Lepisosteus oculatus: one gene and its partners. The protein of the gene in region 1 interacts with the protein of each later gene in a pairwise test. Links are inferred from orthologs where the notes say so. Each region holds a gene or a part of one and is shown on either strand. Other genes may lie near its edges. The genes, in order: lnx1, hsbp1b, kctd17 and eif4h.

The links.
Region 2: the proteins of lnx1 (region 1) and hsbp1b interact in binary tests that used the Homo sapiens proteins (3 or more experiments, as listed by UniProt). The link is inferred for Lepisosteus oculatus from reciprocal best matches to the Homo sapiens genes LNX1 and HSBP1.
Region 3: the proteins of lnx1 (region 1) and kctd17 interact in a two-hybrid assay, tested with the Homo sapiens proteins (2 studies listed by BioGRID and IntAct). The link is inferred for Lepisosteus oculatus from reciprocal best matches to the Homo sapiens genes LNX1 and KCTD17.
Region 4: the proteins of lnx1 (region 1) and eif4h interact in binary tests that used the Homo sapiens proteins (3 or more experiments, as listed by UniProt). The two-hybrid records come from large-scale screens. The link is inferred for Lepisosteus oculatus from reciprocal best matches to the Homo sapiens genes LNX1 and EIF4H.

What each region holds. Positions count from the first base shown.
Region 1 is NC_090696.1:78,409,257-78,416,386, reverse strand, and holds the start of lnx1 (E3 ubiquitin-protein ligase LNX), read left to right. Parts: upstream 1-4,126; 5' UTR 4,127-4,241; intron 4,242-7,130.
Region 2 is NC_090715.1:14,340,615-14,348,084, forward strand, and holds the start of hsbp1b (heat shock factor-binding protein 1b), read left to right. Parts: upstream 1-4,463; 5' UTR 4,464-4,613; coding exon 4,614-4,658; intron 4,659-5,951; coding exon 5,952-6,018; intron 6,019-6,978; exon of another isoform or gene 6,979-7,083; coding exon 7,084-7,214; intron 7,215-7,470. UniProt on the Homo sapiens protein: Negative regulator of the heat shock response. Negatively affects HSF1 DNA-binding activity. May have a role in the suppression of the activation of the stress response during the aging process.
Region 3 is NC_090707.1:38,238,776-38,246,152, reverse strand, and holds the start of kctd17 (BTB/POZ domain-containing protein KCTD5), read left to right. Parts: upstream 1-4,373; 5' UTR 4,374-4,524; coding exon 4,525-4,947; intron 4,948-7,377. Other genes in the region: uncharacterized protein, read left to right, coding at 2,147-2,457. UniProt on the Homo sapiens protein: Substrate-adapter for CUL3-RING ubiquitin ligase complexes which mediates the ubiquitination and subsequent proteasomal degradation of TCHP, a protein involved in ciliogenesis down-regulation.
Region 4 is NC_090721.1:256,170-263,302, forward strand, and holds the start of eif4h (eukaryotic translation initiation factor 4H), read left to right. Parts: upstream 1-4,118; 5' UTR 4,119-4,173; coding exon 4,174-4,238; intron 4,239-7,133. UniProt on the Homo sapiens protein: Stimulates the RNA helicase activity of EIF4A in the translation initiation complex. Binds weakly mRNA.

The DNA of each region.
Region 1 (7,130 bases):
ATAACTCACATATAGTTCACTTGTTTGTAATAAAGATACTCAGTTACTCTTTCCTTTGTGGGTGAAATTCCCAATGTGGCACAGGCCACAGTTTACAGCTTACTGGCGTAACTTCACTTCGTCCTCTGGGCTTGGTGGGTTAGTGCTGTGGCCCAGGCAGTCACGCCAGATCTTTCTCTCAGCCTTCACACAGTCGTGTGTTGTAATGTTTTCTCAGGCAGTGAAGGAAAGCGCGTTCCCAACAACAGGCTGGGGATGTAGTTCTTATATTATGCAGAGATAGTTCTTCTCATTACTTTATACATAATGTATAAATACATTAAACACAGACTTAGCAGTTTTTGACATTTTAATATCCATTATACAAACTGACCAACAATCAGGGTGAAATTAGTATTAAGGAAAACTCAGAATTCTATAAAAAATGTATGTGTCATTTTCTCTTTTTTAAGGCTACACAAACTAGGTGAAGGACTAAGACAAATATAAAACTAATCACTTTCTACTTTAGTAATGTTCCTTTGACCTGAGTCTGACCTGAAAAGTTGCCTTTTCCTCTGTGTCAGATCACGATGACAGTTCAAGCTCTAAATTCCAACAGCTGAATATAACATTGCAGCAGCTGAATATTGAGAAAGGCTAAACCAAATTAATAAAAAAGTGACAATTTCTATAATACAATGAAAACATTTTCATAGGAATAGCAACTGCTCTTGCACATAGTTTGAGTCTCACAAAAGCAACAATAAAAATTGAACAAACATTTCCTCATTCTGTTCAAGATTATGTTAAATAGTTCACTAACTCTCTTGGGTTTTTAGCGGTCCTCATGAACATGTAATGTGGTTAAATAAAAAGTGCTTCAAAACTGAAGAGGACCTACTTCATCCTTGAGAATACCTTGAAGTACAGAACAAACCACATGGGTGAGAAACTGCTTTCCCAGATGAATTAAGGGGGGACTTTAGGGAGGCCAGAGTGGTATTCAGCCAGGACACCAAGATTAATATCCCTCTATTGGAAACAGCTTTAATATCCATGTAGTCAGGACATCAGTTTAATATCTCTTCTGAACAATCTCTTCTCATCTGGACCTCCTATACTACACTGGGTCATTGATTTGGAAATTGTATCCCAAAGGGAAGAGAGCTACCTACTGTTCCACCAAACACCACTTAAGGCAGCAGCCCAGCTTAGCAAGCCCAGCCTTTCTCAACTTCTGAGAACTGACAAGATCAGGCTGGAAGACGACATAACCCAATCTATAATTTATGTGCACTCAAACTATTATAATTTAAGGAAATTAATTTTAAAAAATCTTTATCGTGCAAACCAGTTTCAAGGATGCTTCCATAGCAACCTGACATTATATGTAAAGAGAAGGCAAGGCTATTCACAAAAGGAATGTGAGATGATTTTCAAATTTCACATGGAGTTCATAGTCCTACCTTGAGGACACTATTACACATTTTACATCTGTTTCCAATTACTGCTTGGTACAATACAGCTTCCACATTACGTGTCTCTGCACACAGAAACTGCAAGAGAAGAGCTGTATAGGACACAAACAGAATATATAATGGTAAATACTGTATATACAGTATGATCACAATACGTTTATTTTATTTTCTACTACTCACAACAAGGATTCCACTTTCTGATTCCCCACCATACAATTAGAGTAAACTACTGCATACTTCAAATTTAAAAAGGTTAAAAAAGTATATGATGTTTATTTTTGTCATTATTTATTACATAATGCACTGGTATCTGAAGGTGAGGATGTTATCGTATATATCACTTTCAGCATAATTGAAGAAAGCATTTCTATTACCGGCGTGCTGTGTGTGATCTTATCCAACAGATTCAATTTATTACTGGTGTACTGTGTGTGATCTTATCCTACAGATTCAACTACAAATTGTATTTCTTGATGGCTGTCCTGAAAAACCCTCTTTGACACGAGCCGTGAATACAAATCGTGGAAGAAACTAGACCCCTGTTTTAGTGAAGGAGTAATTTTTCCCCACATACAATATTTCAAGACAAAAAGGCCAACAAACCCCAACAATTACACAGTGGGAAAAGGTGTTTTCCCTTTTGTTCTTCCTATCTAATAATGTAAATCGGAAAGAGATCACAAACTATCACCTGAAGGTGTAAAAACTAATTTAATGCATCTTTATACAAACCATGAATCGTAATTCAACTTTATTTCCAATCCCAAATATGCCAAAGCAATTTGTTTTTGTTTTTCTGTTATGTTAAAACAGCTTTTATTTAAAAGAGACATTGCTGAAATATATCACAGAAGCATAAGAACTTAATTGCATTTTATTTGTATCTTTATTCTATCCATGTATTCTGACCTCAGAATACATGAATACAGTACAGAGACTACTGTATGTGCGATTGTTGATTCTTCATGAAGGACCCCTTGCAAAGATTTACTGTCAGTGGTTGATAGATAGAAGCGTTAAACATGGGTAAGGCAACAGCAGCAATAATGCCTTAAATCCATATATCACCTTCTACATGAAAGTGTCTCTAAATGCACAGACAGATGAAATATTCAGGACACTCGTCAACACAGTTGTGAAGCCCTTGAAAGCTCATTGAAACCCCCTTAGATCATTGTGGTGCGATCGCAAACACTTTTTATACTTCATACATGGGTCCTCAGGACCACAACGAGCAGGGAGGAGTGCAGCTGCAGTTTGTATCTTTCTCAGTGTTGTAGCTTTTGTATTTCGTGAATGAGATCCATTATAAAGGAAAGGGTTGGTGGACACCAACTCCACCTCTGTTGCAGCAGCATTCTCCAGCAGAATTCTAGCGTCTGGCCCATCTCGCTCACTTGGTAGTTAGTAGATAAGCCATCCATGCATCTCATCCAGATGTTTCCAGAAAGAAGTCAGGTATCAACTTTAACAGTACAGCTGGGCAGATTGTTCCAGACTTTCACAACAACATCATTAGCACGTGAATTAGCACAAGTTGTAACTTGCTACTTTCCAAACTGAAACGCTGAATGAATTCAGTGGCCTGGTTATGAAGGGGGGCAGTAGACAAAACCCTTCCTGCCTTCCAGAAAAGAAAAAACACCCGATAAAATTAACAAAGTAAAAAAGGTTTAAAAAATTGCAGTTCTCCAGCAGTCTATCATTTTTGGATGTAACTGCAACTCAACAGATTTTCCCCTTTTCCAGCAAAACTGAATCAAGGGGTTCAAGCAGTCAGGTTTCCCTAGAATCTAACAGCACAGTCGTAGCATGTACATATTGTACCGTATCATGTTTGCATACGATATTAATGCAATTCTACTACTCCAGTTTGGCCAACACCCTAGAAAGTGTACATACTCTGTTTAATGGTTACTGCCTGGATTCTGCCCTGCTTCGGGAAACCTTGTTTTACCCCAAAGTGTAGTGAATCCAGGTTTGATAAGAGAAACTGTAACTTTGAGGAAGTGAGATATTTTGTCTTTTAGCTGAACACAAGAAATTCAGTTCCAGCCTGAATTTTGTCCAAAGAATAATAAATGCAATTAGAGATAAAAAAGAACAGCTCAGAGAAGAAATTCCCAGGGCAACTTATTTAGCATGCCCTCACATGCCACTCGTTGAGCTGCTCAGAAGGCTCTCCAGGACCTGGCTCATTATCTTGCAAGTTCGCAGAATCCTTGATAGTGTGAATTATTAGCCCACTACCTGCCAATAAGACAATTAACGTCACTCTTCAATGACTAATGGCTGGGGAAGTCCCCTTTCAAAGCAGAATCCGAGTAGGTCCCACAGCTGAATTCCAAACAGGGCAACTAAGCCTGAAATCTGCCATTAAAACGGATACAAAAACACACAAACAGGCCTTAACAAGGCCATTTTAGTCATTGCACCAAGTCCAGAATTCATTTTCTGACTGCCTGGGGTCATGCGGGCCTACAGGAGCTTGTCATGATCGTGGCTACAAATATGTAGTTCTCGTGTTGTGCGAGATTCTGATTCGGTTACACTGGGGTCAAGTCTGTGGGAATGACAGCGGTCGTGCTGTAACCCTCTGACGTTCTGCTACACTTGTTTCAGTTTCAAGGACTAATCTGCATGACTGCTTCTCCTTGTGTGTGCAGTTGCGACCAGGAGAAAATGTGTGCCCATGCTCCTTTTAGCTAAAAAATGAGTTTAAAGGATTAGCAGAGAGGCAAATCTGTTGCGGTTGAATTTGTCTGGGTACAACTTTTAAAGGTAAGTGCATTGCAATTTGTTGCAGATTAAAGTAGAGCTATGCAGTTGTGTAACTGTACATGCACTGACTGCGACACAGCTCACCTGCTGTTAGCGTCTTCTGGGCCGAGGAAATTAAATATGCTTTATACATAATGAAAACTTAAACTCAAGGACAGTGGGCATTTGTGGGAGTGTGTGCAGGTATAGGTGGATTAGATGCTTTATATAATATACAGAATTGTTTTTGCTTTCTACCTTTTCTAAATTATTTCCTTTCTGTCCAGGACAAATAAAGCCAAATAGTTTTTAGATTAATTTCTTACTTGTGTTTTAGATTTTATTCACTCACTGAAATTCTTAACTGTCTGGGCTGTATTTCATCTAGATTAACCTTCTTCCTGTCCTTTCTTCCATCTTGCATTTTATATCCTCCACAGCGCTTTTTGTATTGAAAAACCTTTGCTATTGAGTGGGACTTTAGTTGGAATTTAGTTGGAATTAAAAAGTGTTTTAAAATCCATATTGGTGTGACTGTCTCTCATCTAGGTGTCTGTAGTTGATATAAATATTTATTTAATGACTTTAGAAAGACTTTGATAGGCCAATGTTTAATAAGAAACAATTCCTCAGGAGGCTTTCTGAATGCTGCTTGTAGGTTGGTTGTAGTTCAGTAAAAATAATTTTAATAACAACTAAATAATAATTGAAAAAATCCCTGTTTATTGCCATTTAAAAAAGCCAAGTGTTAAGACAGCAAATGTAGCACCTGTCTTGGGTCTTTCACACCTGGACTCTTGTTTCACAAGCTCATTGAGCGCAGCCTTCTGGTGCAGAGAGGGAGCCTGGCAGGGCTCTGGGGGGCTGTGTGCCCGACAGCGCAGGTCAGCTCCAGGCTGCTGCAGACGTTAGAGAAACAGAGGTTGTCATAGTGACCTTAACCCCTGCAGGAATAGGTCGAGCTATCAGTGCAATGGCAAAGGCACTTGTATCATTACATAGGATTCTTAAGCCAATGCAACCCCATTACCCGATGATGAGACCTTGTCAAAATGCAAATAAACTGGTATCTTCCTTGTCTGCTATGAACAAGCCTCATGTGGCTTCCAAGTATACAGTATGTCCGTGGGATGTTGCACTGTTCACAGCAGCAGGACTTGAAACTTTCTGTCATGCACAACCTGTATCAGTCTACCAGGGTTACTTTTCAGTTACGTGACTGGGAAGTTTCTATCACTCAGAAACAGCCCTATGAATGACATGAAAGCAACCTATCATAACGACCGTGACAGAATTACTCCTTTAGGGGTGTGGGCTGATCCTTGTCTGAGCACTGTATTTTAAGGTGCAACTGAATTGAATATCCAATGCAGGGCATTCCTGAAGCTCCTCTGTTCTGTGTGGCTCGAGTTACTTTAAGCTCTTTCTTTTGTATTAGTAGGGAAATGTTTTATACAGGTTTCAGATGTTCTGCAACACTGGGCTCTTTGTTCATTCACTGCTTTTGTGTGTGGCCACTGGCTCATAGGTCACAGAGCTACTAGAATCCATTTACTAGAATTCCAGTTAAAGCATTTTCTGGGCCTTCTTTAAAAAATGTGGTGATTATTTGTTTTCAATTGTATGTAGTACCAATTAATTATATTACATCCTTTTATGCACGCAACTAACATTTGTGTTTCTATTTATTTTATCCCTTATTTTGGTCACTATCGAATTGTTTTTAGACAGCACAATATTTCTTAAAGCAAGCTTTCGATTAGTTCTCCTTTTTCTCTCGAGTTAAAAGCTCTGCCACAGGCACAGCTTGAATGACAGAAAAAGTCATTTGTAGGTTTCTTTCAATTATACTGCCTGTATTGGGAGTCAGTGTTCAGCCAGAGCAATAGGTTCTAGGTTCTAGTCCGTGCTGAGCACACTTTAAAAGTCAAATTACAACTTTGTAGATTGTTTCCTTCTTTGTGTTGGTTTTTCTCAGATAAAGAAGATGGATAATGAAAATGTAAAATGTCAAGTGTTGACCTGTCATCATATTTTTGAGACAGAGGACTTATCTACAGGATCGTCACACACTCTGATTACTAATGGTGTTTCGAAAGCTCGAGTGCAGTGCAGTGGGTCTCTGCTGTTGTCAAGCCACAGCTGCCTCTGGCCTCGTCTCCGTGCTGGGCTGACACCCTGCCAGGCTGCAAGTGGAAACTGAATCCCAGCACCCCTGGCCAGCTACAGAAACACGTAATTGTGCTTTTCAAAATATGATGCTTTTAATTAAGGGATTATAACAAAACAATAGCTCAGTGTTTTCTTTGTCATATGCAAGCTCTTGATGTGCTCTAGACTTTCTGTCAGCCCTCCATAACTGGTCATCGCGGTCTGCTGACACTCGTTCACTCCTAACCATCTCTCTGTCCAAAACAAGAGTGTTGTAATACTCTCTACACAATTAAACCTCAGGTGGCTTTTGAGGGCCAGTAGATCACTTCCTGTACCTTTTCCTCTTCTTGTTCAGTAACCTGGCTTGTCTCTGCCTGTTTGCTCAATGTCTGGTGTCACTGCCAGGCTGGAAACAAACCCTTCATCCACAGGCTGTCTTCCCAAGAGCCCCGCGGAGCGCAGACACAATTGGAGTGATCTTGCTCTTTCACAAAGGCACCTTTGTTTTTCACTGTAACTCCACTTCTCACTGCGTGGTCTGAGGGTGCAGCCCCACACCTGCGCTCCGCCAGCTGCAGGCACTGCGCCGCGTTCATAGGCCCTCCCCTGGCCTTCCTCTTCGTCTTTCTGTGACACGCATCTCCACGGCGTCTTCCGCTTGCTGTAACACTCCTGCCCAGGGCTGTCTCACTGGTCATGTCTAGGAAACTAAGGGTTGAAACAGTTCAGGTGGGCAGCTGCGTCAGCAGGCGCAGG
Region 2 (7,470 bases), on another chromosome or scaffold:
CTTCTGAACTTGCTGCAGTTCCACAAAACCTAATCTCCTGCGAGAATTCCTGAGAGGACGTGTTCTCAAATTTAATGAGACACATCTGCTCTAGGCCTTAATCCTGCTTTAAATGTCATTTACAAAAGCTATGCTCCGTATTAGACAGGCCTCAACAGGAATTACTTTAATGAAAACAGTGGTGGTATTTACAGTAGAAAGAAAAAGTGACTCTTTTGAAAACCACTTCATACACAGAGCATGTCGAATTTTACTAGAAAAGCTTTATTTTTAGGTGTTACTTTAGGTTGGTCTGTCAATGTATTACCTCAAACTGATAAATAGCCACATCTTATCTGTAGCCCTCATCTGCTACTCTATTTAAATATACACAAATAAATTCTAAAACAGTTTTTTGCATTATATTATTAGCATGATATGCAAAACACTATATTTTTGAAGGGGATGCATTTGAAATATATGCATTGTATTTAGCAAGCGAATGTTTTGATCATTTCAAAAAGAAAGATGGCTTACTTAAGAATTGTGAAACACGAGGCATTGAAACTGAAATACCGTACCAAATGGGTTACACCTCAAGTTCAAAAAGCTTAGTTTAAACGAAGAGGCCAGAAAACTGCTAAAATACCCTCTATTCATCATAATTTGTCAGATTAGTTGATTAAGTCTTCTTATAAAGGTGATTTCTTTCTATAGTGACATACTTGTTAGAATGCTCCATATCTCCATTCTGACAGTGAATTGTTTAAAAACCAAAGTATTGATTTCGTACAAAACTGGCCGTGATTTGAACATGGCATTTGATAGTTTTACTTTTCAGCAAAGCGTGAGTTTGACTGCATGATGAAAAAGGAAAATCATTAATTTAAGGAAATAATAATTTTTAAAAGCCTTGTATAACTGAACTGTGCTATCCTCCTCCACTCTGGTAAATAAAAAGCTTATTCAACAGCAGGTGCGTATTTCCAGGTGTCCACAGTTGCTGATTACCAATAATTCTTTGGAATGCTCGGTGCTGTGCAGCTTTGCTCATTTCATTCAACTTTTTTACACAACACCCTGCGTACTACAGCGCCCACATAAATCACGCATTGCTCGTTGCAAAGGTGGGTGGTCACCGCCAGCATCAGTGGGCTTGTCCCACAGGGTGAACGAAACCGGATACACTTTCTCTAAATGGGTTCTTAGTAATGGATCTGCAGCTAAGATTAGAATCTCCCATGAACTCATACAGATACTGGGGATGACCTGCTTGGGACGCCGAGTTGCTTGCGAAACATTGCCTTAGTTGGCAACCATTAAAAATGTACAGTCATTCGACTCAAACGCACGAAAAGTACGTATCAACACTAACACAAAAACAAACTTGCAGTATACCGTTCACCGTTTAAGCGCACGCGTTTTACTTTTTATCTTTATGTGTTCTGTCTCTTTTAATGTAACTTCCTCTGCTTACGACCTGTAATTTTCCAGGTACCACCGGCTTTATTTTAAGTTTATCTAATCCTTTGCAGTTCTCCGTAGATTCTATGCCCGCAATACACTGTAGCTGGGCTGTAAAGTTTAAATTCAGTTTCAGGCTAACTGCTGTACGGAGCGCTTTGAGGAACTTCAAAGCTAGTGCCTGTAAACCCACAACATTTGAAAAAAAAAAGCACTTTTGTTTCAATTCGACAGTATTGTAATTTTAATAACGAAAATAATGTTATTTCAGATCGTGTAGTACTGTTTGCAGTGCTACTTTTTGCAGTGAAACGCGGGGATTTAGAAGAAACACTGCTTACCTTAGTGAGGCGAAGACTCGTTTGACAGCTGCCACAGCGATGCCAAGACACTTCCTGCGATATAAAGGAACATTAATATTACTTCAAGACTGTTATCATTCGTGTGTCATTTGCAACTCTCACTTAAATTTAGTTCTTTGAAAGTTTCTTAGTGGAGTTTGACTTTTATTAGGGCGTTAAAAAACAATAAATCAAATAACATTATAACTGCTAGAGACGAACCTAACATTGATTCGCCGATAGTTTAAAAATGCAATTGTTAAAGGGGGAGTTGTAAATTTTGAATATCCACGTTTAAAGAAAACAGTCAACGCTGTCGCTTCTCCTTAAAGTGATTTGTTATTTGTTCCTATTTAAATAGAAAATCATATTTACCTGTGCGGTGTTACAACCTAATAAAACATATCAGCCCATCAGTTGAGAACTCAAACCTGCGAGATACATGTTACAAGTGTAAAAACATTAAACTCAACGAAAATATCTACATGCAAATATCCGCAGATCTCGATGAAGAAGTGAATTTCCTGTGGGATTGGCGTGCTCACGTGGTTATCCTGAGAAAGACCTAAAACTCGTTTGCTTTACTCACAAGGTAAGAATTTGAGAACTGCATCATTGCATGCTGAATGTCTCGGTTTCATTTTCAGGAAAAGTAAGAGATACAATGGTACCACCCTTCCTGAAAAAAAAAATGTAACATTACACAAAAAGCCTGTTTGCAAAGATAATGGGAGAACTGTGACGTGTTTTTTTTTTTGCTACACTTATAGCAAAAACCTTTACCAAACTGCTTTGAGCAACGCAATGAAACACTATTAAGTTGTTTACCTTGAGCTGTTGTAATCGTCTTTTTCTTCAAGATTCTGGTCAATGTGAATTACAGATGTTCCTGACTGATAAGTTTTTTTTTCTCACTCAAACTAAGCTTATCAATAACGGTAGAGGTTGTTGCAATAGCAAAAATCACAAGTGAAGTGAGGTACATTCTATAAACATTGTGGTCCCTGACTGAGTCAAAGATATCCTTGGGTTTTTGCACAAGTGTTTATTAAATCTTAAGACGACCAGCCTCTGGAACTACTTTATGCTTCACAATGAACAGGTAAAGGTTAATTCCACAATGAGATGTGGAAACAAGAAACATTTTTTTGTTTGTGAGTGAACTTGAACTAGAACTTTATTGCCATATGTAACCGGTACATTTACTGGTACAATGGAATTCTTAGTTACAGAAAGTCTCTTGATTATTAAAACAAGTGTAAAAACACAGTGCAGACAGTGCATCAAGACGATATACAAACAGTAGACAATGTACAAGTAAACAAGTAAACAGTTTGAATGTAAACAATACAGACGTGTAAACAATGACTGGAGATGTGCAATAATTAAGAAATTATAATGAGGTAGATGGTGTAGGTGTGGTCCGAGGGACATGGCCAAATGTGTTCGCCAATCGCTCTGCTTGTGGGTAGAAGTTATTGAAGAATCTAGTGGTAAGTGTCCGTATGCTCTTTATCTCTTGCCTGAGGGCAGTGGGGTGAAGAGCTCATGCCCGGGGTGGTGACTGTCCTCTGTGACGGCCAGAATTCTAAAATCGTTTTATTGTTTCTTCTTTCTGCTTTTCAGTCTGAAATGAACCTTTACATGTTCCATTGCAGATAATGCACGCTGACACAGCTTCCCAGTCAAGAATCGTATTTTAAATCTATATAGTACACGCTTGATTTCTTCATTTCCACTTTTGATTTTCAAGTGTTTGTCTCATTGTTGAGCTTGAAGTCTCCCATCAAACTGACTCTGACAATCTGACTTTTTACATACTTCACAAACTACTGTACATGTAGCACCCTCCTTGAAGAGATATCATTTATACAGCCAGCATATTAATTGTAACATTCTTCGTTATTCTTTTTTTAAATAAGATTACAAATAAGATCGTTAAAGAGCTCAAAGTAACAGTAATTTTCAGTCATCCTTACTTAGTTAAAATAAATTTCTACGTTTTGATTTGGTTCGAAATTAAAAATATTAAATTCCTTTAACTCGTACAACTTTGAGGCTGTTAATGATTCTGTTTTTTCTTCTTTCCTGATACACAGTTTTAGATTTATAACGTTAACCAACTTGGTCATAAAAGTGCATTCTTTTTTCCTGTTTCTACACTTTAATGTGTCCAGTATGTTCAGACGTTCTCTTCATCTTTTTATGAATTACCGACATGATCTATATGAGGACATTAGTAAGGAAAACATTTTTTTTTGTATTTTATATTGCATGTTTGCATGCACCCTTTGGTCAGATGGATTACAACAGAAAAATAAATACAGAACAAGTTAATGCGCCCCTACGATACAAACGAAATATTTTTATTGAAAATGAAACTTGTGTGACATTTGTTTTCTAGATCTTAGACGAAACGCTAATTAATTAAACAAAATGTTATTCACCTCCGGGTTTTAAATAATGGACATCAAGAAGTCTTGAAAGAGATGGATAGATTGTGGGAGAAAAGATATGGAGGTATGTGAAGTGAGTGAGGAAGATGTGCTCGACAGAGACAAGTGGAGAAGAGCAACCAAAGCATCTGACCCCAGGACAGTCTGGGACTAAGGCTGTGAAAAAGAAGAAGAAGAAGAAGAAGAACTACAGATCCCATGAGCACTCTCAGTGAAATCGCGCACACTTGCTCTCGCGAGATCTCGCCCAAAGCCTCACGGTTTGTGTCTGGTTCACTCTGGTGCTAGTGGTGATCGCTCATATTCTGGAGGATTTTCAACACAGAAACAATATATCCAGGCGTGGAAGGTGTAAAACACCTTATCAGTGAACATGTCGGAAACGGATCCGAAGTCGGTACAGGACCTTACAGCTGTGGTAAGTGCGAAAAGGAAGCAGCTGTTTCTCCGAAGGGACGCGGGGCCTTGTTGATTGCTGCTGTGTATGTACTGTAAATCCCACTTTCATCGTTTGTGCAATTTTGAATTGGCAAGGGGAGCTCTAAAACCGTATCGTTCACTAGGCGTCAAACACCTGGCATGTGGCATCTTCAAAACGAGATTAGGCGTGTTTAGATTAGGATTGAAACCGCGATAAGCAGTGTGTATTTGATCAGTTTAATTGAGGACGTATGAGATGCTCGAGGTCAGTTATTTTCACCCCTGATGCCTGCCCTCCTGTCTTGCGAAATGGAGTAGGCAAGAAAATGGCTAAATGAACATCTGATTAAAATGTGACTTCTAACAGTCCCTCGCGTGTGATTATATTAAACGGAAGTGCATTCGGGTTGCATTTTACTGCTGATACTGTAGTGCAGATCCGGCCCGGACGCCGCTATGTTTAAAACTGAAGTTTGGGCACTGTGTATAAATGAGTAAAACCCAGATTGCCGTTAACCGGAGGACGCCATCTGTGTTGTGTCGTAACCATAGTTTCTGCACCAGTTCATCCCCACCAGCAATTAGCGCCTGTTTTAATCGCTGCCGGCCCGGTGCGCCAGTACTGTTTACGAAGTCGCTTGAAGCTCGCAGTTCACCTAAACAGGCACATTCGTGCTGTGATGAAAGTTCCCACATTTTAACATTTCATCAAGGAAAACGCACGAAGAGGAGACGGCAGTGATGCCCAGTCCTGGTCCTGGAGAAATATTATCTTCTGGGTTCCATGCCAGCTGAGCTCTACATCTCCCGTGCTGATCGATGACTTCACAAATTGGCTTGCTTGTTCAGGCTTCTGTTTAACTTCTTTGGTTATTCCAGAGTGTTAATAAAACCCAACGTCAGGAGTACAGTTTCCACAACTTTAGCCCACAGAACTAGACAAGACTCTTGCTAGTGATCAGTTGGTGATGAACACAGACACGCCATCTTTTCTTTCTGCAGAGGTCAGTTGGTTACAGCTGTGTAGAATACACCAGAATAAGGGCAGTTCTGAAACTTGGGAATCAGTACAGGGTTGACGCTAGTTACACCAAATCTCAGTTACTTAGTCTGCAATTAGGATCTCAACTGAAGCGAAAGTCCAGAAGATAATTTTCCCCTCAGGACTAGGGTTAGGAACTCCTGGGATACAGCGTTCCAATGGCAGTTTTTGCTTGAGGTTCTATTATTAGTGTGCTCTTTTCACTATGAAGAACAGCCTCATTACGTTATCTCCTTCTTTTTTCTTCAGGTCCAGACATTGCTTCAGCAGATGCAGGACAAGTTCCAGACCATGTCAGACCAGATCATTGGAAGAAATATCCTGAATTCATTTTTGTGCCTTTTTTACTTATAGGAAGAACATGATTCTCTTACCAAAATAAAGCAAATTAATTAGGTTAGAACAAGGCTTAGTTTGGGGGGACAAGCAGGGCACTCTCAGGACACTGGTAGCCTGGCCACACTGAGTATGTTTTTAACTACAGAGGGAGGTTCTCAGCTTCATTATTTTTCAGTCTTTAGGACTGAAATTAAGGGGCACTTCTTTATAGTTGTCAAAGTACTGAACATATTGCCCAGTGATATTCATGAGGTTTGCTCCCTAGTATCTTTAGATATTAATATAATCCTTGGATCGGTATTCTACTTTAAAGCAGAATTTGACAATCTGACCTCATTTGTAACCTTCATCATGTTTCATCATGTTTATATTTTAATTTTAAAATTATTCATTCTAAAGTGAGTCATTTTATTCAAATGTAGTATCTGATATCTTGCCATATACAGGTCTCAGAAGAGGGATGCTTTATCCTGTTGCTCATACCTTGGGTCCCTACAAGTCTAACCTAGAATGGACAGTTTTGGATAAAGACTTATATTCCCATAAGTAATCAACTGCTTTAGTTTAAGTTAACATGGGGGAAAATCTGGTTGCTGTTACAGTCATCAGTAGCAGGCTTTCCATAAAAAGGAAATGGTAGATCTTTATCACGGTACAGATCTTCTTATCCTTTGCTTTAGGTCAGCATACATTATCATTCAGTTTCATATGAAGATCATCAATGACATTTTCAGGTTAATGATGAAAATGTGGCAAAAAGTAGAAAAACATAACCTCTTCTCGTCTTATAGTTGGATCATTTAGTGATCCAAGCCCACTGATGTAATATCTGAGGAACACGATCATTTAAAGAGGTGTGTCTGTGATGATTAATAATGAGGCAGATTTTGCTTTAATAAAGCCGCACCTCATTTTTACTTTGCGCCAATGTGCTTACCTGCTGACAGTAGGAAACTGGGCAGTGCCCAGTGCTCTGTGCTGGGAGTGGCTGCCAGCTCTGGTGAACTCTTTGAAAAACGAAGCCTTTCCTTGACCTGAGCACTTGACGAAATGAGCACTCGCATTGATGACCTGGAGAGGAACATCGCAGACCTGATGACCCAGGCGGGTGTGGAGGAGATCGAAGGGGAGAATAAGGTCAGCCAGGACGCGGACTCGCAGTCAGCCAAAAAGGTAACGACTTTTAATGGAGAGTAGGCATCGACAAAACCCACCTTCCTCAAGGAAATCAGAAACAGCACAGCCATTTACTAGATGCCTTGCAGGGGGACTGGGGATGAAACCAGTTCTGCTGTCGTTTACAATAGGAGCTCAACTGTATTTAAAATAGAGGACGGGGTACAAAGATCACATAAGGTTAGAATTAAAGCCATCTTTCCTATTTGCTTTGGTTTTTGTCTTTTTCAGCTTTGTTTCACTTTTCAGCTTA
Region 3 (7,377 bases), on another chromosome or scaffold:
AAATGCCAGCCTTCTGAATCGGACGACGCAGAGTCGAGCCATAAAACCGGACTGGGGGTCTCTGGGACTACGACTGTCCGCTCCTGCTGTTTTCTCGATAACTCCTTTCCAAACCACAGTGGAATTTGCTGGAGCTGCACCTGGGCGCGGGTGAGCGTCTGCGTCAGGCCCTGCAGCGCTGCACCTGGCCCGCTGGGGGTTATCTGCCTGCCTTTCTCCATCGCTTCTCTTTCTCTCATTCTTACTTGCTCTCTGTCTCGTTCTCTTTCTCCCAGTCCGGATCTTTTTCTCTCTTTCTCCGCCCCCGTTCTCTCTTTCTCTTTCGTGCTCACTCTCTTTCTGACTCGCCCCTCTCTGTCTCTCTGCCCCGTGGGGTTTGGTGAGGTCTGTGTACATGGGGGAGGGGGGGGGTGAGTTTGGTCTGCAGCAGCCCAACCGTGACACCCCCCGCCCCCCACCCCGAAGGTTTCCGTTTCTCTGTTTTCAGAGTCTGTCTCTAGGGACCCTGACAACCCAAATCTCCTGCCCTGCTCACATCTGCTGCTGCGAGGGGCCCCTGGCAAGGTCAGGCCCGCCGCTCGAACCCACAGCTGCAGAGACTCTGCCTTCTCTTGAACCCGCAGGGCCTGGCGCCCGTGGTGCAGCCTCCTGGGGGCGCTGCTCCTCCCACTGCGCTGCGAATACCGTCCTGACCCCCCAGCAGGAAGCGCTGACCTCTGACCTCAGGAAGTGAAAGGGGGGGGTTGTACCCGCCAGTCACAGGACGGTCCCAGGAAACTGCGAATGCAGCCCCGAATCAGACCAGCGGTTTCTACCAGGTCGCTGATTCGCTGATCCTTGAGATTCATTCTTCGGGACCGGTCATACCTGAAGGGCTGAAATTGTGAATCTGCAGTTCGTGGTGTCGCCTCTTCGAAATGCTGGGCCCTGCCTCAGGCGACTTGAAGGAGTGATAAACACCCCTGTCGTGTGCTTGTTTTGAGCACTGTGGCCAAGCGCATCAGTGCTCAGAGGAGGAGGACTAATGAAGAGAAGAAGAAGCCTATGTATCTATAAAGCGTTCTTACATATAGGTGGGGCTGTACTGCGCCAGCTGCCCCCCCAGGGCAAGACACAGCTCCCAGTCTGCACCAGCTGCCCCCCCAGGGCAAGACACAGCTCCCAGTCTGCGCCAGCTGCCCCCCCAGGGCAAGACACAGCTCCCAGTCCGCGCCAGCTGCCCCCCCAGGGTAAGACACAGCTCCCAGTCTGCACCAGCTGCCCCCCCAGGGCAAGACACAGCTCCCAGTCCACGCCAGCTGCCCCCCCAGGGCAAGACACAGCGACCAGTCTGCACCAGCTGCCCCCCCAGGGCAAGACACAGCTCCCAGTCTGCACCAGCTGCCCCCCCAGGGCAAGACACAGCTCCCAGTCCACGCCAGCTGCCCCCCCAGGGCAAGACACAGCTCCCAGTCTGCACCAGCTGCCCCCCCAGGGCAAGACACAGCGACCAGTCTGCACCAGCTGCCCCCCCAGGGCAAGACACGGTGACCAGTCTGCACCAGCTGCCCCCCAGGGCAAGACACAGCGACCAGTCTGCACCAGCTGCCCCCCCAGGGCAAGACACAGCGACCAGTCTGCACCAGCTGCCCCCCCAGGGCAAGACACAGCGACCAGTCTGCACCAGCTGCCCCCCCAGGGCAAGACACGGTGACCAGTCCGCGCCAGCTGCCCCCCCAGGGCAAGACACGGCGACCAGTCCGCGCCAGCTGCCCCCCCAGGGCAAGACACAGCAACCAGTCTGCACCAGCTGCCCCCCCAGGGCAAGACACAGCTCCCAGTCTGCACCAGCTGCCCCCCCAGGGCAAGACACAGCTCCCAGCACCAGTGGCCACAGGCAAAAGCGCCACCTACTGGTTCCCTAACACCCATTACAGCAGCAACCTGGTTTTCCCTAGAGGACCCGCATGGCGGTACTGACCCGGCCCAGCCTGTGGCCCGCACTGTCTCCTGAGAGTGGGCCGCTCGTCGGTCCTGCGGCGTCACGCGCCCTCCCACCCGGCAGGTCGGGGGTCCCGCGTTGGCGCACGTGTAGTCACAGGCCAGTACGCCGCTGTGACCTGGCCGGTGGGCGGTGACGCTGACGTGCTTCCTGTTTCCCCTCCAGCCGACCCGGAAGCAGAACCCCCCAGCGAGCTGCAGCGGGTGGGAGCGGGGGGCGCCCCCCCGGGCGAGGAGGACGACCAGCCGCCCACTTCCTGTCCACACCTGAACGGCAACGGGGTGGCGGCCGGTGTGCAGGCGCCCCGGACGCTGGCAGACTCTTCTCCCGCGGGCGAGGAGGAGGAGGAGGAGGAGGAGGGGCGTCTGAAGGTGTACATCTGCAACGGCAGGAAAGAGCACGGCTTTCCGCTACCTGCCACTGAGCTCGGCGGCGCCGCCCTGGTGACCACCAAAACGGTGCAGTGCGCCGATTGAGGGGGGAGGGGGGTTAAAGGTCAGATCCCGCGGAAGGCCGCTGTCGCGTTGCATTCGCTCGACAGGCCGCGGAGACTGCGCTCATCGGCCCCCACGCCTCCCGCCGGACACCCCGCGCAGACGCAGGCCGCCGCGCGTCTTCCCCAGGGGGCGCCCTGCCCTGGGCCGGGCCTCTTCGTTCTGCCGGGGCTCGACTCAGGCGAGCAGGGCGCTGGGCTGCTGCTGTCTTGGCGCGGCCCCTCCCGGCCCCTCCCGGCCCCCGGACGCAGGGGCGAGCGGCTGTTTCCTGTGTCCCCTGCCTCTTGCGGCAGCGTTGCGATCAGAGCCCCGCTACACCGACTGTGTGACCTCTGTGAGGTCAGGAGGGCGCCCGCTGGCTCGGCTGCAGGGGGAGACCTCCAGGGGCGCCCCCGTTTGTTTTCCTCATCCGTCTGCGCCTCCTGTCCCTGCTCCCTTGCACGGTGACCCCGGGGGGGTGAGGGGTTGGGGGTTGGGATGATCACTTTCTCTCTTTCTCCCTGATTTTTGTTTTCCTTCCCGATTCCTGTCACTCCCTTCCCGACTCGGGGCTCGGGGAGGGGGTTACGTGCGAGGCGCCCCCCACCTCCCCCGACAGCTGCTCGGAGGATCAGGGTGTCGGAATTGAATTGATCAGGGAGAGGAATTGAAAAGAGCAGGGGTCTTACCCCGGCGTCCTGGCCAAATCTCCCCCTGGCCTTTACCCCTCATGGCCTCCTAATAACCCCCCTCTCTGAACTGGCTTCATCACTCTGCTCTCCTCCCCACTGAGAGCTGGTGTGTGGGGAGCGGACTGGAGCATCATCCAGGTGGGGTACACACTGGTGGGGGTGGAGGGGATCCCCGTGACCTGTAAAGCGCTTTATAAGTGTAAGCAATTATTATTATTATTATTATTATTATTATTGTGTGTGTTTGTGGGGGGAAACTCGTCTGCTCATCTGACGCGCCGCCTGCCGAGTGAAGTCGGATTGCGCGGTTGCGCGGAGTGTCCGCTAGGCGGCGGTGTTGAGTGGGAAGCGGAGAGGACGGTGCGCCGGGGTGCAGACAGCGGCCCCAGAACCGTGATACCCCGCCACCGGGGGGGGTCGCTTCTAGGCTCGGGGCTGCACCGTGAGGCCAGGAACTGCAGCGGCTGCCTGTCGTGACATCCTGCGTCCGCGCTCTCTTGAAAAAAAATCCCATTTTGTCAAACCGACCAGCCGAGAACTGGGGGTGTCTGTGGTCATGCGTGCGCCTGACTGACCTCATGAACGAAGGTCGTAGTTATAGGGGCTTCGTTTAAGCTGCTTTTTTATCTGCAAATAAAAACCTCAGACTTGAACTGCAGCTGTCCAGAGTTTTATTGCTCTCCGCGCTGGGGCAGGAATATAAGAGCTCTGTGCCACTGGGGGTGAGGGTTACCGTGCTGTCAACACTGGGGGTTACCGTGCCTTAATCAGCCATAGGCCGTGAGAAAAGCAAACAATATATCATATGAAATTGAAGTATAAAATGAAAGTTATCGCAGTTTAGTTGTGTTAGAAGGTGATCCAGTATGTTTATGAACTCAGTTGAATTCAGAGTTTTGGGAAATATGTTGGGGATACAGGTGTCAATCGTAAAAAAAAACGAACAATTAAGCATGTAATTGGAAATCCAGAAATTCAGAGATCACCAGGGGCAGCAACGGTGAACCGTCTTCATGGACAAGAGCTGTATAAATTAAGGTACTCGCTGGATTTGAATTATGAATGACGAGATGCTCCCCTTTAGAAATCGGCGATTTGGGGTGACTGCTCAAGCCTGCACTCGACTGCACGCAGGAAACCCCGATTTACACGACGGCGTTCCCAGTGGGGAGCCTACAGACCCCACAATGCACCGCGCACGGGCTGTTTAAAGACTACACTTCCCGTCTGCGCATGCACGGCACGGGGAGGAGGCGTGGGGCGAGGAGAAGGAGGGAAAAAGAGAGAGAGAGAGGGAACCAGGGGAGAAAGATAGATAGAAAGGAAGGAAGGAAGAAAGAGGGAGCCGTGAGATTTTTGTCTCGGGAAACCCGTCAAAATGGCAACGGAGGAGAAGCGGAGCGGGGGGTGCCGGCAGCAGCAGCAGCGCGCGGCGGAGGCTGGGCCCCCCTGTGCGTGTCATAGCAACAGCAACAACAACAACAGCAACAGCACCGGTACCGGCACCGGCACCGCCACCGCTGCGGGCGACCCCGGTTCCAAAGCGGACGGCGAGGTCTGCGACACCGCGGCGGCGACCCCGACCTCGGTCTGCCCGGAGCCCGGGAGCGCCGGCCCGGACTGCGCCTCCCACGATACCGGGACCGCCGGGACCGGCACCAGCGGCCCCAACGGCAGGGGCAAGTGGGTCCGGCTGAACGTGGGCGGCACCGTGTTCCTCACCACCCGCCAGACCCTGCTGAAGGAGCAGACCTCCTTCCTGTACCGGCTGTGTCAGCATCAGGACCTGCACTCCGACACGGTGAGGTGGGGCGGATCGGGGTGTTGGGGGGGGGTATCTGACCTTGTCCCGACCCGTCCCGACCCGGGCTGTGTCCCCATCTTCACCTCGTAGCGCAACGTGACACACGACAAAGACAATCACATGCGGTCTCGGGGCGTGGGCGTTGGCGTGGGGGTGGGCTCCGGGTTCCCTCCGGCCTGCTGCCCCGTGACACACACACACACACTTGAGTTTCTTGTGTCTGGGGCTCAGCTGCTCGGTGCTCGTGATTAAGATCTGGGTGTGCGTCTGCTCCCTACATGTAAGAACCGTTTGGTTGTGAACTCCGAGGATCTCCTCCTGCTTCCTGAAGGGAAACCAGGGTGTCCGCCATGGCGACAATTCGGAATGGGGTCCAGCTCTCGTTCCACACCCCCGCCACCCTCTGTGTAAAGACCTGCCTCCTGTTCTCTGTTTCAAACGGTATTCCACACGGTTTCAGTTCCCACCTGGCCAGCAGCGGGTGTTACTCTGCTGGCTCTGAAGGAGTCCGCTGGATTCACCTGGTGGGTGACTGGGAGGGTTCTGGATAGTGGTTTCGGGTCCACCCCGTCTTCTCCGCTCAGCTCTAAAGAGTCCGCTGGTCTCTTGGGTCGCCTCTCTTTAGAAACCAGATCCCCTCGAATTTCATTTGTGGCTTCTCTAGTTTGCTGCTCACAGATTCCTAGTGCAAGAAATTGTATCTGGCCAATGAAGTGAACTCCTCTTAAATCTGCAGGTTTCCCCTCCAGTGTTGACTCGTTCACTTAACTGGACTGGAATCCAGGTCGTTGATATAAACTGGGAAGAGCTGAGGGCCCCTGCTCCCCCTAACTCCATCATCCCCATCCCATCGAGGCTCCTGGAGATGGACGTTCATCGAGACCGTTGTTGCTCGTTCAGGGACCCCCAACAAGACCCCGCTCTGGAGATGGGCGCCCTCCCTGTGGGTGGGCTCTGCCTGAGCGGTTCTCCAGTCCCGGGTGCGGGCCCTGTCTCGGGGTGCGATCTCAGCGGCGTCTGAGCGACGCCTCTCGTTTCCTGGAGTCCAGCTGGCGGGCTCCCGCCGGGCCTTAGTGACCTTAGGGCTTCTCCCTCTTGTGTTTGACACAGACCTGAGTGCTTCCGCTGCCCGGGGCTGTGCTGCTGCCTCCTTCCTCGGCGAACACCTGAGCTGAAACCCTTGTTCTGCACCTCGGCCCGCTCCCTGGCGTGATTAGAAAGGTCCCGTTTGTGTCTCGGAAGGATGTTTGTTTATTTTTTTTTAGCCTCCTTTCGGTCTATCTCCTGGGCTTCCCCGATACGCCTTTAGCCTGAGCGCACGATAAACTGCGCTCCTCTCCTCTAACTGGATCCTGCTTTATTGCTGGATTATTTTACGAAGCTCTTTCTCTTCCCCTCTTTTCCTTTCCGAGTTAGGTGCGCTCAGCTGTTTGGGAACCTGTTTTCGTCCCGCTTGGGATAAATGTCTTGTGCTTCAGACCAGACCTGTTTAAACTGTGGCCTTCGATTTCAGCCCCTGCCTTATCCTCTCTTAAGCTTCGCCTCTTGCTTTCGAACTCTGCTTTCCTGAAATTCGAAGCTTTTGGTCCCACCTGAGTCCGTGCGGTCTCTCTCTCTCGTGCCTGCTCTCTGGCTGCGTGCAGAAGGCCTGTTGCCGTGCGTGTGTGTGCATGTGAGCGCGTGTGTGGAGGGGATCTGCGGCGCAGTCCTGTCCTGCAGGCACAACAGCCGAGAGACCAGAACAAACAGGCCCTTTTCCCAGCAGCTGATCTTATCGCTGGGGTTGCTGTTCAGGAAGCGCCGTGCAGGCCCTCCAGACGGGGCCGTTCCACTCCATGGCTAGGAGCCCGCTCCCGGCTGCGGGGGACAGCTTTTCCAACCGAGAACAGGCGGCAGTTCTGTACGCGAAGGGCGGTGGGAGTGGGGAACAGGCTTTCTTTCCGGAAACGGCTGGATCGAAGGTCTGGTTCAACCAGTGGGGAGGGTGCAGGGGTCGGTCACACACGGGCACAGACACAGCCGTATTCCCGGGAGTCGGTCACCCTGCCCGCACCAGCGCGTCTGTGGACAGCGGGAGAGCAGGCTCTGGAGGGAACCTGCCGAGCGGAAACAGGACCGGCCTGTACCGGTTTCTCCTCGCGGGGTGCTGGACTGGCATCTTGACCCTGCGTGCTGCAGCAGGGTGTGAGTAAAGCTGGGGAACCTCTCGCAGACGCCCCCCTTACCTGAGCGTCAGTGGGGTGTCTGATCAGCTGTCCTGGGCTTGTCTGGCATCCCCCAAAACCCACCCTCCTCCTCTTCCTCTGTCACCCTACACGCAGGTCCCCAAAACCCTTTTTCCTCTTCCTCTTCCTTGTTTTCCTGTCTAATAAGAGCAAGGAGCAGGCAGGAGAAGCACCTGTATTTGTCTGTCGATTAGTCTGACAC
Region 4 (7,133 bases), on another chromosome or scaffold:
GGTCAGCTTCAAAGGAACAGGTAAAGGTTTAGTCCATGCTGAGAGGAAAAGAAAAGAACATTTCGGCTGCAGAACCTTCTTCAGATTTGAGGGCGTAAATGAAACGAAACGTAGGCATCAGTAGAGGTGATCTGCAATACAAAAAAACATGAAAAATTCCAGAGAATGTTAAAAAGTTACAAGTAACCTAGACGAAATTACTACGCAGGTTTGTTTTAATGTTTTTATTTTTTAAACACAAAAGGGAAATACAACAAACAGGGGTATATACATACAAATGTCACAACGTGATAGAACAAAGGTACCATCAGATGAAGGAAAGAACAAAAGAGAAAAATTAGTACGCAGGTGTTTGCTTTGCTGAGCGCTGCTGTACTCGTTACTGAGGACTTTTACTTTGATTGAAATTCGGCTGTTTACAAACATTTCCGGTTCATTCGCGCTGCTTAATGGTGCACGTTTCACGACCTTGATGACGCTATATGTACTCTACTACATACTTTTTTGTTATTGTTACAATAAAAAAAAAGTTTTAACAAATATCTTCACGCCGCTTTGCCTGCCGTCACTGAGCAGGAATTGTGAGGTGTTCCGGGTCACGCAGCTGGGCGGGGGGTGGAGTTACGGATTCAGGAAATTGAAGGAGAAGTTGCTGTATTAGTACTGTAGGGAGTTTTGATCTTCGAATAACAGATATTTAAATTTACAGAGTTGTGTCTTCAATGTCTTGCTTTAAAAATGAATATTGTCTCCCTGGCATAAATTAAAGTAAATCTAAACCTAAAATGAATATTACACTTCCTAATGTTTTGCAAAATGGGCAGTGGATATTCCGAGGGATGTGTTCACTGAGTAGCCTGTAGTTTTTGTAAAAAAAAAATTTTTTTTTGTAACTTTATGTGATATTTTAGAATTTATGCGGAATAATCAAAACTTCATACCATTTACATTATTTGATGGTACTAGTAAAGTTGGCCCATGCCTCTCAAGAAATCAGTGAAAGTTATTAGAACATCAAGGAAATGCAACCTGTGCAATATTTCCATTAGAAAACCTATATGTTTTTTTCTCTTACCATTTTCTGTATACTTCCTTACCAGTTTTTCAAAATATTTTGAAAACATCTTTGCTTTCAAATTAAAAAAATCAAATTGTAATATGCTTTATTGAGAGTTGGAAACTCCTGTGTTATAACACACTTAGACGAAATGGCAGCACACAAAGACCAGACCTGAATGAGCAATTGGTGGTGAACACAAACTAGTAAGAATTCATGGCTGATGGCTGGAATACTAGCACCACCCAAAAAAGAATAGTTTGTTTCATACTCCCACTACCTTTTGTGTAAGGAAATGCCTCCTCATCACAGTTTTAAATGCACTTCCATATAGTTTCCACTTGTGCTCTCTTTTTGTTTCACTGCCTCTGGGATGGCCTTGTCTGTGCCTTTGATGACTTTGAATATTTGGATGAGGTCCCCTCTGTTCAAGACAAAAAGGTTCAGTTCTCAAGTTGAAGTTCCCTCATGTCACTCAATGTAGGATGTTGAGTAAGGTAAATTCACAGAATATATCTAAGTGCTGTTCTGTAGTAATTCCAGAGCTGTTATATCTTTTTAATATAATAAATTAAGGACAACATGATAGCGTAGGGTTTAGCAATATTGCCTCACTCTGCTGGGGCTCTGGGTTCAATTCCAGACCTGGAGTGCTGTCTGTGTGGAGTTTGTATGTTCTCCCCATATTTGCATGGGTTTTATCCAGGTGCTTTTGGTTTCTTTCCATAGTCTGAAGATCTGCTGGTAGGTTAATTAGCTTCAGGGAAAATTGACCATGGTGCAAGTGCATGTACGTGTGTGTGTGTGTGTGTGTGTGTGTGTGTGTGTGTGTGTGTGTGTCTGCACCGCCATGGACTTGTGTCCCATCCAGGGTTATCCTGCCTTGCGCCTTTGCTTCCTGGGATAGTCTCCGTCTCCAATGCAACCCTTAATTGGAAGAAGTGATCAGAAAATGGGTAGATGTTAAAAATCGAGTGCACATTATTGGTACTTTTTTACAGTTAAATACCGAAACAAATTAACAAATTGTGCACCATTTTCTGACACACCAGACCCTCTGTTAGGGTTCTTGAATTTATCTTTTATTTTTTGTTAAATCAGAGTGATTAAACATAAGGAGATATGGATATAAGGCATTTGAAATCTATTAATAAAAGGCCCTGACTCAGCAATTTTAGAACTTATTTGAAAAGCAAGTCTAAAAAAATGACATTTTAAAATAACTCACTGCATAATTTGCATGGCATTAACAGTTTTATTATAAAACTATTTGGATTATTTGAAGTGTCTGACTGTAATCATGATATTTAAAAGCTAACTATAACATTGTGTTGAAATTATTATCATAAATATCTGTCATTTTGTGTTTCATGGCTGAATTTCTTTAATGCCCTTGAGTTACACCTTAACAATATTTCATGTCACCATTATTATATTACTACCTTGTTTAACCAGACTGGATGGGGACTCGGATAAAACTTCACTGTACTTGCAAGGGTGGATTTTTAATCATTTGCCTTTGGCTGTCCCCTTGTGCCTGCGATTTGAAACCAGGAGCAGGTGTCCCCTTGGCTGGAGAGACCATCTGCTGAGCCAACACTCTGGACAGGAGGCCTCTGCACGAGAAGTGTCTGCAGAGGAATCTGCCAGGCCGTGGGCAGAGAGGTGCAAAATGGAGTCCAAAGCTAAACCCATATACAGTTAAACAATAACCGGGTTGCCACTAGCAATACAATTAATTACCTGGCTCTATTATATCTGGAAATATTTTAAAAATTAAAGCCAAACATAGCAGCAATCTAAAGATGCATTTTTTCCAGATACAGGCAATGCCTCCACTACATAACCAATCTTTAAACCAGTACTTAAAATACACCTGAAGAAGGCTCCACAGCTGAAATGTTGTGTTTTCTTTCTTCTCTTTTCAGCATGGAATAAACCTATTACTTGTTCCTTAAAATGTTCTACTTAGCTTTGCTGAGGTTGTCCCCTGTGTAGTAGTGTGTCTTGGCTAGTCAGAGTGAAGTTTGTTCATGCCTAATGTGTAGACTCCACACCTCTGACAAGGCACACCACTCGATACGACCTACTCTGTAGATAGACTTGAGCTGTAGACTACCCCTGGGTTTTAAGTATACTGGGTGGACAGGACCTCAGACCTGTTATGTGTTTGTCAGGTTTACTTGAAGAATTCACGCTTCATTTTGTACTGTACAGTTCTGCAATTTCCCTCACGGGATCAATAAAGTATCTATCCATCTATCTATCTTAAAATGAAACTATCATAAATAGAAGGTAATAGCAGGCCCTTTACCATCAAGACTTTCAGTTTCTTTTCCAGTAAGCAAGCAGGAAATCTCCTGAATTTTTAAAAAAGCTTCCTATCCAACTGCTCTTCATTCCTTTTTACTTACACATATTTAATTCATTTCAATTAAGGATTTGCATCAGTGTAGGCTGGCTGCAAAGCTGAATGTCTTCTTTCCAATGGTACCAAACTACTTGTTCCTTCACAGGATTAATTTGTCCACCAATTTTGGATGCATTTGTCCTGGAACCGACTGTTACTGATAAGAAAAAAATCACATTATTATTAGAAATACCTTCTATTAATGAGAAATGTAAACAGTTTTCTAGTCTTGGTTTTGGCTGTGAAATGTTTGTTTTTCAGGTTAAAACCTTTAATTGTTAGAACAATGAGAACAGATAAATAAGAATCCGTTATTATAATGATAATAATATTATTTGTGACAGGAAGCTTATTTTAAGAAACCGGACACGTTAAACCTTGAGTCCAGAAAGATGACCGACAATAGACAAAATCTCATTGGGAATACCATTTCGAGTTTTCTTAGTGCATTGAATGTTTTTTTCCCTGATATACATTTGGCACGTGTGCCGTTAGAACAAATCAATAACCAAATAAACATTTGAATCGCTGCTTTTAAAATATTGGGATGTGTTGTATTTCTTGTTTTTTAATGTTCAGGACTGAGTTGTGGACTCCTACCCCAGTCGCGGTGTCGCTTTTTGGCCAGGCGCGGCCAGGACAGCCCTGCCCTGCTCTATATTGCGGGTCCTCACGCTCCTGCCTGCTTTCTCCTGCACAGACTGCAATGGCGGATTACGATAACTACGATGACCGGGATCGGGCTTACGGCAGCTTCGGAGGTGGAAGGGGGTAAGAAAACAGCCATGGGAACAGGATGTTTATTTAGTGCCAGCGCCAGCACCAGGAAAGTGGTGCTGTGTGGGGGCGAGATGCCCCGATGGGTTTCGGGGTCCAACTTGAGTAGGCCTGTCAGGGGGAGACGGGGGACGGTGTGGGAGACGTGCTGGGATGAATGGGGAGCCGGTGTGGTGGATTAGGAAATCGCTGGGATTTGTGATGCATCCGAGACCCCCAACTGTAAATTATGGAAGCGCGATAATGTGCTCCTGACTTTTAACTTCGGAGTAGTAGCGATTTTACAGCTGGATCGGCGGCGTGCAGCTGTGCGGCTGGTGAGCCGGGCTGTAGCGTGGTGCCAGCGGGGCAGTTGGCGCCAGGGAGCCCGGGAGAGCAGCGCCACATGTGGGTGCCGGGGCTGGGGGGCGCGGTGCACCCCGGAGTGAAGGAGACTCGCCCTTGCGCGCAGCCCGCTGCTCTCTCCGGAGCTATACAAACTCGGCTAGATGTCCCGTTTCTCCACCCAAAAATCAGTATCCGTTACATTCTGTGCTGTCCATGTTGCTAGACGGATACGTTTTAACAAATATGAAATGATTCTTCTGCAATATGAGGTGTCTGAACACTAAATATCCCCCCCCTTTTTCGTCCGATGCTAAATAAATCAGATTTTTTTTTACTTTAAATCTAGAAAACTGCCCTTTCACAAAGGGGGTTCCTGTTCCGTGGGCGGCCCTGTTTCCACAATACCTAAACAAATATTACCATGCGATTATTCATTTTGTTATATAAACCAGTAGTGTCCCTCAGGAAATACTAACATAAAGTAGCTGGTAAAAGTAATTTCGCAGAAACGAGGCTGGTTAGCAATAGAGTGGTTTGTGGAAGTCCTGAGTTTCCATTAGTAGAACGAGGTTGTAACTGAGATGGAATTTAAATTAACTCGTTGTCATTCGTATTGTGTGTGAAAAGTGTTTTTATACTCTTCTTGCAAGCATATTGCAGTACACTTTTGTAAATTTACATTTTTTAACCAGATCTTAGAATTCTTAGTTATGATCAGAAATATTAAGTGAAATTGCATTAGGAGTTTTGGTGGTAACTTCATAGGAATATCTTTTGTGAAAGAAATTGCTTAAGTACTCATAAATAATTATTTATAATTGTTCATTGACACAATGTTTCTTGCTTTTTACAAGCTGTTTGGTGGGGTTTGCTAAATGTACTAAAATGTGGTGGGTAGCTTCATTTGTAGATGAGCAGTCTTTCACCTGAAATCTGACTTTCTTTGGACGAGGGGTTTTATTAGCTGCTGATGACTCAGGGGCGCAGGAATGATGCCAGAGACCAGGAGGCTTGCACTCGTCATTGCCATTCGGATGGTTCGGGCCTGAGCTTGGCACATTTACTAACCACCTCTTCACTTTCAGTTAGACTTGCAAGTGGAGGGTGGGAATCGGATCACAATGGTTTCACACTGGGAATCTCCGATTCAGCCCAGGATTTAAATCAGGTAGAGTGGGATGGAGCAGGAGAGAGGCAAGGTGAGATTTGAAATCTCTGGTCACAGTTCTTTCTGATCTTGGCACACTGTCTGATCTTCAGCCATCCGTCTGCACTACACTGCGTCAATGTCACATGGCTTGGCCAGCACAATGGTGTGTAGGCTGCCATGCTTTCCCATTATTGGCACTTTTACTGCAGTTTTCTTTTCAAGACTTAAGATCCCTTCGGTTTTATTCAGCCCATCTTTACCTGAGACTTCTTTATTTTCTGGGAAGGTTTGTGCAGGAAGCTGCGTCAGTAAGCAAGTTGCAAAGGAACAAGTAGAAGTTAATCCTGAAAAGTTTATTTTACTTCTGCACATGTTTAGCAAGGCTATTGAAAATCTCTATTTTAAATTTCACTGGGAATAACAACAGTCAGGAATTAGACATATTAAAAGATTTGATTGTTTAAGGTTACAGTAATTTGTCTTAACCCACTGTGTGGAGGGCTGGCCACAGGACGAGGAGGCCGGGACCCCCTGCGGAGTGAGGAGTGACCAAGGGGCAGAGGTGGAGATGAGGGATACAGGAGACGGATGCAAGGGAGAGAAGGAGTATGAATACATACAGTATTTATAATGCTTAAGGGAAGAAATGATGTCATGATTGATTACAAATTACCGTAAGATGAGGCTCGGTGAACTTGGCTGTTTTCATCCTTTCCAAATGTTCTTTTAAACCCAGTTCAAAGTCAGTATATCGCATTGAGATGGTTTCTTTGTAGGGCTAACAGGGGCTGTACCAGAGACCAGTGAAGAGACTTAATTGTGGAAGAATTGATAAATAAGGGGTCTGGAGCTCACAATAGGCTTTTGATACCCCTCACAGACTGACTAGCTCCATGCAGGGCAGCTGCAAACACTAGTTAGCTTGTTTGAGTGTTGTGTAGACTATGTGGTGTGCAGTGGTTCTGAAGTACTGTTAGGGTGGTTTCCTCAGTGCATCTCTGCTGTGCAAGATGTGTCCCCTTGAGAAAAGCACAAAGGAGACAGTGGGTAGTGTGTTTTAAATCTCTAGCTCTGGAAGATGAGCTGTCTTTTCTTGCTGTGATCATGCTGTGCAGATTTAAGTACACCTTCCTTTGAGCTGCATGAGTTGAATAATGTAGTTGTTAAAGATTTCTACTTCTGTTTGAAGGTGTTACTATTGTATATTTGAGTGGCTGGCTGGTAAGGTATGATAGAACACATGGGATTGGAACTGATCTTTTTTTGATAAATATCACAGTTGAATATGTAGATCATTGACAAAATAGTGGAAGCATGTAAGTAAATAAGATATAATATTATGGCATTATATTAAGATTATAATAATATAATGCCAATTATACTGAAAGCATTGGCTTCCACACAGGTGTCGA